3 linked regions of the Arabidopsis thaliana genome follow. The protein of the gene in region 1 interacts with the protein of each later gene in a pairwise test. Each region holds a gene or a part of one and is shown on either strand. Other genes may lie near its edges.

What was found. The genes of interacting proteins can lie anywhere in the genome.
Region 2: the proteins of EXO70B2 (region 1) and GPX5 interact in a two-hybrid assay, tested with the Arabidopsis thaliana proteins (one large-scale study listed by BioGRID).
Region 3: the proteins of EXO70B2 (region 1) and AT5G67130 interact in a protein complementation assay, tested with the Arabidopsis thaliana proteins (one large-scale study listed by BioGRID).

What each region holds. Positions count from the first base shown.
Region 1 is NC_003070.9:2,149,617-2,154,086, forward strand, and holds EXO70B2 (exocyst subunit exo70 family protein B2), read right to left. Parts: upstream 2,926-4,470; 5' UTR 2,690-2,925; coding exon 2,198-2,689; intron 2,090-2,197; coding exon 782-2,089; 3' UTR 542-781; downstream 1-541. Other genes in the region: AT1G06990 (GDSL-like Lipase/Acylhydrolase superfamily protein), read left to right, coding at 203-393; SLP1 (Calcineurin-like metallo-phosphoesterase superfamily protein), read left to right, coding at 3,333-3,516, 3,580-3,692, 3,775-3,807, 3,888-3,989, 4,134-4,346, 4,436-4,470. UniProt on the Arabidopsis thaliana protein: Component of an exocyst subcomplex specifically involved in autophagy-related, Golgi-independent membrane traffic to the vacuole. Regulates autophagosome formation and autophagy-related Golgi-independent import into the vacuole.
Region 2 is NC_003074.8:23,308,183-23,311,937, forward strand, and holds GPX5 (glutathione peroxidase 5), read left to right. Parts: upstream 1-1,554; 5' UTR 1,555-1,978; coding exon 1,979-2,038; intron 2,039-2,131; coding exon 2,132-2,208; intron 2,209-2,296; coding exon 2,297-2,358; intron 2,359-2,497; coding exon 2,498-2,616; intron 2,617-2,727; coding exon 2,728-2,895; intron 2,896-2,982; coding exon 2,983-3,018; 3' UTR 3,019-3,215; downstream 3,216-3,755. Other genes in the region: AT3G63070 (Tudor/PWWP/MBT domain-containing protein), read left to right, coding at 1-376, 469-826, 981-1,160, 1,368-1,393. UniProt on the Arabidopsis thaliana protein: May constitute a glutathione peroxidase-like protective system against oxidative stresses.
Region 3 is NC_003076.8:26,789,735-26,794,422, forward strand, and holds AT5G67130 (PLC-like phosphodiesterases superfamily protein), read left to right. Parts: upstream 1-1,564; 5' UTR 1,565-1,864; coding exon 1,865-1,969; intron 1,970-2,063; coding exon 2,064-2,186; intron 2,187-2,423; coding exon 2,424-2,561; intron 2,562-2,642; coding exon 2,643-2,741; intron 2,742-2,833; coding exon 2,834-3,137; intron 3,138-3,223; coding exon 3,224-3,447; intron 3,448-3,519; coding exon 3,520-3,606; intron 3,607-3,714; coding exon 3,715-3,915; 3' UTR 3,916-4,148; downstream 4,149-4,688. Other genes in the region: AT5G67120 (RING/U-box superfamily protein), read right to left, coding at 1-3; AT5G67140 (F-box/RNI-like superfamily protein), read right to left, coding at 4,275-4,490, 4,570-4,668.

The DNA.
Region 1 (4,470 bases):
CCAATTTTCTCCGCACAATTCTCTCATATTAGTATATATCACATACGTGTGAAGTGCATGTATTTTACAGGATTTTTACTGATAATTTTTTTTACAGGTTTTGAAATTATAGTTTGTTATAAGAGAACATTCAAGACTATAAAATATTTCATTTTATTACAAAGCTAAGTAGTTATCAATGTTATTCCTTTGAATGGGACAGGGTTAAAGGAGACGACGAGAGGATGTTGCGGGACTGGAGAAATAGAGTTAGCGTACTTGTGCAATGCTTTAACTCGGATTTGTCCTAACCCTAACCAGTACCTTTTCTGGGACGATATTCATCCTTCCCAAATTGCTTACATAGTCATCAGTCTCAGTCTTGTTGAACAAATTTTCCACGTACTCTCTTGATTTTCATTTTGCTTTCATATATATTAATTAATCTGTAGTCAATCTATAATTATTTCCCTGTGGGTTCACATAATCTTTCGTATTTGCTTAAGCTAGGTTTTACATGTATACTATTATGATATTATACTACTCTATCCTGGTAAGTTGTAACTCTATAGCACAATGCTCGTAAGTCCGTTTTGAAACCCAAACGAATTATATTTTAACCTTAAGGAAATTTCTTACATCAAAAAAGCAATACATGAACAAATCAATGTCGAAAAGGTGATTCCACCGATCCATGAACATTATTCACCCAAGAAAGATAAAAAAACACAGAATGATTCACAATTTTACAAAAAAATTCAATTAATAAGAATTTTTTAATTTCTTTTCATATCTAATTTAATCAACTTGAGCTTTCCTTGAACAACCGTTTGATTATAAACTCCACATCTTCAACAGTATACGGAATAAACGGCTCTCCACGCCTCCCATTAATCTCCGGTGACTCCTTCAATCTTCTGATGAAATTCGAGTACGCCGGAGATACAATTCCGGCAACAGAGCTTCTTAACTCCTCCCTCAATTGCCCATCACTAACAACCCATTGAGATTGCACCTTACACACCTCATCGAACTGTGATTTGAACAATCTTAGGTTCTCTACTAACTTGGGATACGGACCATCGGTCCTAAGCAATCCCACCACTTGGTTCCATGAGCTCCTTCGGTAATTAGAATGGTATTGCCTCAGTTTCGCTGCGTGCTTCACAATCCAATCTTCTCCTAGGACTAAACCTAGCTCGTTATCCTTAGCCTTATCAAGAATATACTTGTCATTGTTCATCATGAACAAGAAACACAAAGACGGATCACGATAAGTTCTTTTCTTGCCTTCCAAGTTACTCTCCAACAACTCCAAAACCCATATGATTTGCACAGACAACGGTCTCGTATCTGATCCGGTTTCATTTCCTGTCTGGTCAAGTATCTGCTCCAACGATTGCCGCGATTTACACGCCGCACGCAGATAATTCATCACGTACCGCGTGATCGGGTGAATCCCACCGCCAGGAAACGCTGTTTTGGGAGGGTCACGTCGGATTAAATTCTCCAGCTCCATAAATATCCCTCTAATCGCTTCTCCTAACCGTTTATGAATCGCGAGCGCCTCATGCCTTAGCGGCGAACAATATCGATCAGAAAATAGCGTTTCCATCTTAGGAATAAGGTCTTGCATCGCTTCGTATAAATCCACAACCTTAAACAAACGTTCAGGTAAACGGCTTCCTAAAGCGATCGCGTCTGCGAAATTCAGAAGCTGTGTTGTGGTTCCGCGACAAACTTCCATGAAAGAAAGATCGGTTACAGAGGAAACAGGAAGATCAGAGAAAACGCGATCGCAGAGAAGACGCTCGCTCGGGAAGAAAACGTGGAATATCAGCGTTACGGCTTTAATCCAACGGTCGATTTCGTCTTCAAGATCTTGCCATGGACTCTCTTGCACTTCCTCCATACTTAGTCCTCTGAGATGTAACCTCGACAAACTCTCCTCTAGAAACTCTCTTCGTCGACTGCTGTACACTCTTGAACACTCTTTTGCAAATCCACCAGCGACCATGCGCACAGCGATCGCGTTTAGATCGCCAATAACGCTAGATTGTAACGCCTCGATCACGATTTTGTAATCAGTGATTGGACGAGCAACGATTACCTATTCAATTGTGAATCACTTAACCACAATATAACCGATAGTAAACCGAATTTTCTAATTCTAATTCCAAAACTAATTTAGTAATAAATTTACAGATGAATTAATTACCCCGTCGCTTGTGTCGTTGTCTTCTTCGCCGGGGAACTCATCGTCCGAGTCAAACGAGTCAGGGGCTCGGTCCATTACAAATCCAAACTCTTCTTGAAGCCTAAACATCACCTGTTGAATCAGCTCATCGGCACGGGATTGACAGACGGCGACGGATTTATCTCCGGCCATGGATCTCAAGTCTCCGGCAATCGCAAGTAGCTCATCAACAGAGTCGAGGAAGGTGCGCGAGTCAACGGGATCAGACCAGATCGGTCGATCTTCCACGATGTAGCTGGAGATCTGTCTCTCTAAAGAGGTGAGGGCTCGGTCAAAGTTGACGTTTGAGCCGCCGCGGGATGGGGTGGGTCGAGGATCTCCGCCGCGGTTTCCGGAAGCGCCATAACCGGAGAGAATCTGTAAGATATCTCCGGCGGCACTTGGATCCTTGCCGAGAGCTCTGGCGATGTCTCTGGCGGCGGCGTAAAGATTCTCGTCACCGGCTTCAGCCATATGATTGGATGGGAATTAATAATGTTCGGGGAAATTACGGAATTGGTGGAATTGGGAGAATAAAGACGAAAATCCATAGACGAAGACTATAATATTGACAAAGTCTTCGGAGATTAAACGCGGGAACCATGTCTGACTTAGTTGTGTGCTTCTGTTTGTATTTTAATGGAATCTGTAATTTCTTAGTGCCACGACCACGACTTTGTCTTCGTTTCGATTTTTCTCTTTTGGTTCTGTCTGGTTTGATGTTTACAGAACGTGAACGCAATTTAACAACCGCGTTGTGCGTTTGGTCATCATGGAAATTGGTTATGGGCCGATGACTTCGTTACGTTGAATTTTCGGCGTCCAGTACACTTGGGCTTTAGATGGCCCAATGGACATATTATTCATTTTTGGGATCGATAAGTTTGATAAGGTTGAGAGGCCCAATTTTTGTCTTTGTGGTTATCTTTTATTTTATTAAAAACAGAAAAACCAAAAATTGAGAGGAAAAACCTCAGCCAGTAGATAGATAAAAGGGATTTGATTACTGAGCATGCAATTGGAGACAAGTCACACAAATTATAGACCAGACGAACACAAATGTTAAGTGATTTCATCAAAGCTCTGGTGGATCATTGCTTCTCCACCACCAATACCAATGGCTTCCCTTTACCTCAATTCCTTACTTCCACTTCCTCCTTCTCACCCCCAGAAACTTTTAGAACCTTCTTCTTCCTCTTTGTTGAGCACTTCTAATGGTAACGAACTTGCTCTGAAGCCGATTGTCATCAATGGAGATCCACCCACTTTCGTCTCTGCTCCTGCTCGTCGTATCGTTGCAGGTTCGCCACCATTAATCTGAAAAGTTTCAATCTTTTTGATAATTTGACAACAAAATTGAGTAGGTTTTGGTTTTGGATATGCACTCACAGTTGGAGACCTTCATGGCGATCTGGGTAAAGCCAGAGACGCACTTCAGTTGGCTGGCGTCTTGAGCTCCGACGGACGAGACCAGTGGGTCGGCCAAGACACCGTATGTACATTATCTCTTAGTGGTTCAGTATCGTGTTAAATGGTTTGCTTGATGATATTATTGACAGTATCTGCTAGAGTTCAACATTACGCATCTTGAGGTTCATTATGATGACTGATTCTTTTGAGTTAAATGCTTATGAGTTGTGAAATCATAATGAAAATACAGGTACTAGTTCAGGTAGGAGATATACTTGATCGCGGTGATGATGAAATCGCAATACTCTCCTTATTGAGGTCACTTGATGATCAGGCCAAGGCTAATGGTGGAGCTGTTTTCCAGGTTTTTGATTGCTATCATACTTGAATTTCATAAGTAAATTTTACACAGAGAAGCTTTTGCACTCTACACATTTTAATTTGCTAGTTCTAGAATGATGATAATTGATAGGACTAACAAAGAGTAACTTCTTGTCACATTTTAAAGGTTAATGGGAACCACGAGACAATGAATGTTGAAGGGGATTTCAGATATGTAGATGCGAGAGCATTTGATGAGTGTACTGATTTTCTTGACTACTTGGAGGACTATGCACAAGACTGGGACAAAGCGTTTAGGAATTGGATTTTTGAGTCAAGACAATGGAAAGAAGATAGGAGGAGTTCTCAAACCTATTGGGATCAATGGAATGTAGTAAAGGTACTTCATTTTGCCTTGTCCTCTCTGAGTTTTCTTAGTTTTTGTATTCGTTGGTTAACCAAAAGTCGGTGGGAAAACCATTAGGACAGAGGCAAAAGGGAGTAATTGCAAGGTCGGTCCTTCT
Region 2 (3,755 bases), on another chromosome or scaffold:
ACTTAGGGATGAAGACGAAGGAAGTGACTCGGATGGGGGTGATTTTGAGTCTGTCACCCCTGAACACGAGTCAAGAAGCCTTGAAGAACATGTCACACCGTCCATTACCGAAAGGCATACCCGTATACTGGAAGATGTTGATGGTGAGCTTGAAATGGAAGACGTGGCTCCACCTTGGGAAGGTGGAAGCAGTGCTAGTGCGATCACAGATCAAGCTGATAATAGAGAGTCTGCAAATTGTCTGCTTGTCCCTGGAACTTCACATCAGAATGTTACCTCGTCATCTCCACCAGCTCGCCCTTCGCAGAATGCTCAGTTGGCAATGTCTAATTCCTACTCAAATGGCTTTGACTACCGCAGAAATCCCAGCATGCAGGTGCGTCCTTTTTCTTCTTTTAGAATCTTTTGCAGTTAACAAAGTGAGGATTCAGACATAGTTAATAACTTAATTTGTGGTTAATATTCAAGGGCGACTATCATGCCGGTCCTCCAAGGATGAATCCCCCAATGCATTACGGAAGTCCTGAACCATCTTATAGTTCCCGAGTATCTTTGTCAAAAAGCATGCCACGTGGGGAGGGTTCTAACTTCCAGCATAGGCCATATCCATCTTCTCATCCCCCACCTCCTCCGCCATCACATCATTATTCATATATGGAGCCGGACCACCATATAAAGTCGCGGAGAGAAGGTCTATCATACCCTCACAGATCTCATTACACACTGGAATTTGACGAAAGGAATTATCAAGACAGCTATGAGAGAATGAGGCCTGAACCATGCGAGAATCGAGACAATTGGAGATATCATCCGCCCTCTTCTCATGGTGGACTCCGATACCTTTTTTTTTTTTTTCCTTATAATTCTCATGCATGCTAATAGGCATATATGAATGCATATATGAATGCATATCTGCGCACACAAGCACTTGCTCATGGATGCTAATAGGCGTGAATGCTTTTCTTTTTTTTATATTGCAGGTCCACGATATCATGACAGACACAAAGGACCTCATCAATCGAGCTCATACAGTGGGCATCACCGTGACTCAGGAAGGTTGCAGAACAATAGGTGGAGTGATTCTCCGCGTGCATATAACAATAGACACTCTTATCACTATAAGCAGCATTCGGAAGGTCCTGTTCCAGTAGGAATGAGAGGTAATATGGAAATTCATACTTGTTCCACGTCATGAATCAGAGCCTTTTCTTATACTGGAATTGTTTCCTAGGTTTAGAAACTCTGACATTTTCTTTTGACTGGGGATTTTATATCATTAGGTCTCTGAGATTCGAGATTGTTTTGCTTGTCCTGTGGGTATATCTTGAATATAAAAATGAACTTGGAGTATGTTTGTGGATATGCAGATCCAGGGACGTGGCATCAAAGGTGAGTGGGAGACAAGAGATGAAGAAGGGCAAAGGTGCAGTCTGCTCTAAATGAAAGACATTTGGGCTATAGTCATGGAAAAGAAGAAATAGGGAGAAACAAGTGTAGGTTGGAAAGACCTGGGCCACTTGAGAGAGATGTTAATATACAAAAGAAAAAAGGCACAGTTGGTGTGTGTACATATGACCAAAAACGTCGTGGAGAAGGCTAAAGAAACAGTCGTGAAAAGCCATTTGTTGTAGTAGAGAGAGAGAGATTTGAGTTAGGCAATACTGTCACTGATTTAGGCATTTGATATTTTGTAAACAAAATTTTTTGGTTTATTTTTGGGGAGTGGTGGTAATACACACTAATATGCATTTCTGTCACCTGGAGAGATGAGATGTCTCTAAAAAATGGTCAAAGAGGCGATTAATTAGTTAAATAGCAAATGGAAAAAACAATTAGGGATGGGTTTGTTTGTTACCAAGGAATTAACATAACAGCTGTAATGCTGCTGCGAGATAAAATGAACAATGAAGAAGCGGAGACCTGTTGACTTCAAATAATTTTAATTAGTTTCTTCTGTGCGATAGAGATCGATCGAGAGATGGGTGCTTCATCATCATCATCTGTGTCGGAGAAATCAATCCATCAATTCACCGTCAAGGTTTTCTAATTTATGAATCCCTTTTCTTCATTGTTTGTTTATCTGATGAATGAATGCGTTTCTGACTTGTTTGTCTGATCTATCGGAAATTAGGATAGCTCCGGCAAGGAGGTTGACCTAAGCGTGTATCAAGGGAAAGTGCTGCTCGTCGTCAACGTCGCTTCTAAATGGTCCGTCAGATCCTCCGATCATCTTCTCTCTAGTTAATTATTATTTCTTGATTCTAAATTTTTTGTTAACAAACAATTTGGGGAACAGCGGATTCACGGAGTCCAATTACACCCAGCTGACGGAACTTTACCGGAAATATAAAGATCAAGGTCAGACCATACAAGAATATTAGAATAGGAATGTATATATTCCTTTCTAATAAAGAAGACTCTTCTTCTTTTGCTTTCCCTTGTTACTTCATCGTTTATGTAAGATTTTTTGTTTTGGTTTCCTTTGGATCATCATCAGGTTTTGTGGTATTGGCGTTTCCTTGCAACCAGTTTCTGTCCCAAGAGCCTGGCACCAGCGAAGAGGCTCATCAATTTGCTTGTACTCGCTTTAAGGCTGAATACCCTGTTTTCCAAAAGGTACCTCAACAAACAAGACACTTTTCTTCTTCATATGCCTTTAATAGGTAGCTGATTTTGTAAGTTTATAACTAAGCATGAATGATCATGATCATCTATGTGTGTGTGTAGGTGCGTGTAAATGGACAAAACGCTGCACCAGTCTACAAATTCCTCAAATCTAAGAAACCCTCTTTTCTTGGAAGTCGTATCAAATGGAACTTCACCAAGTTCTTGGTCGGCAAAGATGGTCAAGTCATTGATCGTTATGGCACAACTGTTTCACCTCTATCCATCCAGGTCTCTAACTCTCTTGTTCTTCATATTCTATTATAAAATCATATCACTCTTTTATGGCTTACTTCATGTTTGTTTTCTGCATAACAGAAAGACATCGAGAAAGCCCTTGCACAAGAATTGTGAACACGCACAGAGATATTTGACTCCTTTGGAAGAAACTTCTCTCATACTCTCGGTCATGCAGTCAAGTTTCTACATTTCCCATTGCACCTTCCATATGGGCCTTGTATTCATCTTATGTGTAACTCTACTAGCCATTTCTTTTGTGAAATTTGATCAAAGGTGATTCCAATAAGTTGATTTGAACCCATAAAAAAAAGAAAAAAAAAAACTAATTCCAACAAATACAAACCACCAGCTAAGCTAAAGATTAGACGAAATCAGCAAGATCAAAATAAAACATCAATGATTTTCACTCAAGAGAACGCCTATAACAACGTCTTAGGATACCAAAAGACATTTTAGTCTATCTATCACTCTCACCATTTACTTTTTATGGTGCAAATTACTCAGTTTCGACGATAATTAATGTTTAAATCTGTCTCATGTGTTCAATGAGAACTTCTTTCCATCTGTAATGTATCGATTATAAGTGGCGTATCACTCTCACGTGCGCTGTTTGTGAAACGTGGCAGACAATTGAAGAAATAGAGAGTACAAAGGAGAAAAAAGGAGTACTTAAAAGGAGACCTTGACCACTCTTTCATGCATCCATCCTTCTTCTTTCTTGTCTTATCAGTTTCTTTTGCTTTTGTTAGAGATTAGTCAAACTACTGATATTATTAACATTAACCATTTTTATGGCTTTATTTTGTGAACAAACGACCCACCTATCCCATAATCACTAATTAGACATTACA
Region 3 (4,688 bases), on another chromosome or scaffold:
CATACTTTTGGAGAAACATATTACCTGACTCAAAATTTTTTTTCAAGGGGCTAGATTAAGCTGAATTTATATAGATAATTAACACTTTCAAGTATCATCACCATTTAACTCTTCCATTCAAATGCAAATACTTGAGTGGACAGGATAGTCTTAATATTGATAAAGTAATAGAAAAAATAAAGACGTTATGAACAAAGAAAAACCACTAAATATATTGTAGCTCAGTTAAAGGAAAAATATATATACCAAATTAAGGCTTAAACGATAAATAATGCATATAACCCACTTTTCAGTGCCTCCATGGATAAAAGGATTTAGCAACTTTAAGGAAAAAAGGTTTATACCAAAAAAAAGTTCAAGGAGAAAAAGACCACTGATTTACAATTGTTGGGTAGTTTGAAGTCCCAAAATGTTAAAAATTCAATTAAAAAAATTGTGACAGCTAATAAAAATGGAACTTTAGCTGGATTCGGAAGATTTATTTTATTGAAAATAAGGATTCTGTTTTAATTATAGCTCTAATACAGTTGAATTGGTTTTTTATAGAAAAACATTTCTTTATTGAATTTTCTTCAATGGAAAAATATCATTTTAGAGTGAATAAGTACAAAAAATAATAAATGTTGCTTTCAACAAAAAAAGGAAGGAAATTTTATGTTTTGGCTTTGTATATTTGCTTTCAACGTCATTAAAACGCTTTTTAAACCGGAGATATGCATCTTGTTTTCCTCATTTACAAGTTCACAAGATGATTAATTACATTACTTGGGTCATGGGCTTAAAAAGAGAGAGTTTGGGTCCAACTAAAAAGGCTCAGTAAAATACGTAAATGGGCCTAGCGTTATAGCGAGAGGCAGAGAGAGAATTTACACGACGACGACGTCATACTCAATGGACGTAAATGTCCAAACTACAAAAGTTTTTTTTTTTTTTTGTGTATTAAAAAAAAAATCTCAAGTTAAAAACACATCAAGAGTATATTACAGCAACTTGTGTGTTAAATCACCAATTGTGAATAAATCGGTTATGGAAATCAATCATTTTTTTTTTTGGTTTAATGGAAATTAATCATTTGATCGTTAAGAGTGTCACTAATTCGATACGTCACTTGCTGACGAATCTGCAGATGAAATAGGCATGGTATGATAAATCTCGTTAAGAATAAAATTTCACCTAGATGTTTGAGTAATTTTTGTAAGATGATGAAAATTGTAACATTTTTCATTGAAAGAAGCAAAGAGACAAGCAACAAGACAAGAGTGTCCCCACGCATGTGAGCACCGTTAACCATAATAGAAAAAAGATATCTTCATCTAATAATAGGTGAAAAAATCTTATAACTGAGCAAATTTTAGAGAATGAAAATAGTGATCTGTGAAATAATTTTTTTTTTTTTTATGATAGACCTCACCTAACAACTAGAAGAAATAATATAAAACCATTATTACTTATATTGATAAACTCTTACAAGATCACTGTTTCCATAAATCTTGACAAAAATGTCACTCCATATGTTTGGTGTACAAGACTAGAAACTGTAGTTTTGAGTTATGTTATTATAATGTTAAACTGTATTATGCTCAAAATTGAACTCCTTTTGAAAGGTGGTTTATCTTCTTTACTAATCGTTTCTTCATTTTCTCTCTAGGAGCTAGGTGGGAAAAAGATTCAACCTTGTCTTAGAAAAAGAAAACCAAAGCTAATCTTTTTCTTTTGTACCTCTCTTTCAAGGATTAACAAAACAAATCGATGAAGCCCGGGTTTTAGTACCTAAACATCTCTTTGTCTCGTCTTTGAAAACCCCCCCAAGTAGATCCAACATCATTCATATCTCTCTCTCTATCTCTGCATAAGCTACGGAGCGATGTCGGCGTGCATCAATGGCTTATGCAGAGCCGTGACTGTCTCTCTTCTTCTTCTTCTTCTTTCTTTCTCTTTTTCCTCAGCTTGCTCCAATGGAAATTGCCAGGTTCTTGATTCTCTTTGCTTATTATTCTCTGGTTTATGGCTATCAAATTTGGGTCTAAATCTTTAGGGATTTTGCATTTTTGTGTCTCTTTCAGCTGCTGGATTCATGCTCCTCGGCTACTGATTGTGTCTCTGGTTTATACTGTGGAGACTGTCCTGCCGTTGGAAGAAGTAAACCCGTCTGCACAAGAGGCCAAGCCACAAGTCCAACTTCCATTGTGAGATTTAGTTCCTATAATTAGTTGGATTTCTCTAGAGTTTCCAATTTTTGAAGATGCGTTGTTTCAAAAGATAGTCTAGATCACTTGGTCTATCAAAAGTTTTGAACTTTGAAGATGGGTTTTGCTGAAGATTTCATTTGGTTGCATTAAAAGATAGTCTAGATCATTTGGTTGTATCAAAAGTTTTGAACTTTGAAGATGTGGTGATGAAATTTGTGTGTGTGTTTTTTGTAGATCAATGGATTGCCTTTTAACAAGTATACATGGTTGATGACTCATAATGCCTTTAGCAATGCAAATGCACCACTTTTGCCAGGTGTTGAGAGGATTACATTTTACAATCAAGAAGATACTATTACTAATCAGCTACAAGTAATGCTCTTATTACCAACTCTCTTATTATAGTTTCCTCTTTTTTTGGATAAAACTCTTGAATGTATATTTTTGTTCTAGAATGGAGTTAGAGGGCTAATGCTGGATATGTATGACTTCAACAATGATATCTGGCTTTGCCATTCGCTTCGAGGGCAATGTTTCAACTTCACCGCTTTTGTAAGTTTTATCTTCAGCTTAACCTTGCTGGATCGAAAGCTTGAAACCTGATTGGATTGGTAAATGTGAACTTTGTTTTCTTTTTGAATCAGCAACCTGCAATTAACATACTGAGGGAAGTTGAGGCATTTCTGAGTCAAAACCCAACAGAGATTGTTACCATCATAATAGAGGATTATGTGCACAGACCTAAAGGCTTATCAACACTGTTTGCCAACGCTGGTTTGGACAAATACTGGTTCCCTGTTTCGAAAATGCCTAGAAAGGGAGAAGATTGGCCTACTGTGACTGACATGGTGCAAGAGAATCATAGGCTCCTGGTTTTCACTTCTGTTGCTGCCAAAGAAGATGAAGAAGGCGTTGCGTATCAGTGGAGATACATGGTTGAAAATGAATGTGCGTATTACACACAGTTTATATCTTTAATGAAAATTGTCTCTGAGAATAACCTTCTCTTGCCATTTTCTTATGATTGTCTAAAGCTGGGGATCCCGGAGTGAAGCGAGGTTCTTGTCCTAACAGAAAAGAGTCTCAACCTTTAAATTCAAAAAGTTCTTCGCTATTCTTGATGAATTACTTCCCGACATATCCGGTTGAGAAAGACGCTTGCAAGGAGCACTCAGCTCCACTTGCTGAGATGGTTGGGACTTGTCTCAAGTCAGGAGGGAATAGAATGCCAAACTTTCTTGCTGTTAACTTCTACATGGTACTGAATCAATCATATAACTATAATATGACTGTTTTTACGAGATCTAGCTAACAAACCATAATATTGCAGAGAAGTGATGGAGGCGGCGTTTTCGAAATTCTGGATAGAATGAATGGACCGGTACTTTGCGGTTGTGAAACTCTTTCTGCTTGCCAGGTATTAACTTATTAACTCGCGCCAAAGTTACTTATGGGTATGAAATAAGATCTTACAAGCCTAAATTATCTAAAACCGGCACCCGTATTTTGGTTCTTGATGTTGCAGCCAGGAGCAGCTTATGGTTCATGCAAAAATGTTACTGTACAGACAAGAACTCCAAGCATGGATTCAACGGCTGGAAGCAACTCAGGTGGAAGCTACTCAGGTTCAGTTCAGTTCTCAAGATCTTTAGCTTCTGTGGCCCAACTAAACAACATTGTTGTCTTCTGCTTCTCATTGCTTCCGTTGCTGATATTTCTACTATGACACAACCAATCAAACCACGTGGAGAGATTCTTAGGTTAGAGAATCTTGATCACTTCTTTAGAACGAATGAGAGAGCCTAAGTTGACATGAATTGCCTTAGAAAGAGTTTCTGATTTGATTCTTGTATTGTAGACTGCAGAGCTATAGGCAGAAATCTTGTGTATGTGTGTCTTCAGCTTCTGTTGATTGTTATGCAACTTATATATATATATATATAGACACAATTCTACTCCAATAGAAACTTTACTGAATATTTATATATATATGTTGTTGATTGATGAGAGAACACATAAGATATATGCAGATTCAATTGTATGAATTACTATGTACACAACAAACAAGAAATATGATGAGCAACACTAGACAGCATGCAGCAACGGTGGTGGATTCTGAGCATTGAGAAGCAATTCCATGGGTTTGATCTGAAGAGCAGGACTGATGGTAAGTAAAGCAATGAAGCAATCTACAGGAACTCTAGTTCCCCATAAGTTGATGGATTCGAGTTTTCTGCATTTGTTTACAAGAACAAGAAGGCCTCTCTCTGTCACATGACGGCAACACCACATTCCGATTGTCTGCATAAAGGATTCCAATTTCGAAAGCGTGATTCTCATGAATCTAGAGAGAATTATTTGGTTAGATGATTGTTGTTACCTTAAGCTGATGGCAGCGTTCTGCAATTGCGAAAAGAGACTCATCGGTTATAAATGTTCCTCCTATGTTTAGGTGTTGCAGTGAGGAAGTTCTTGAAATCTGTCAAATCAAAATCAAGA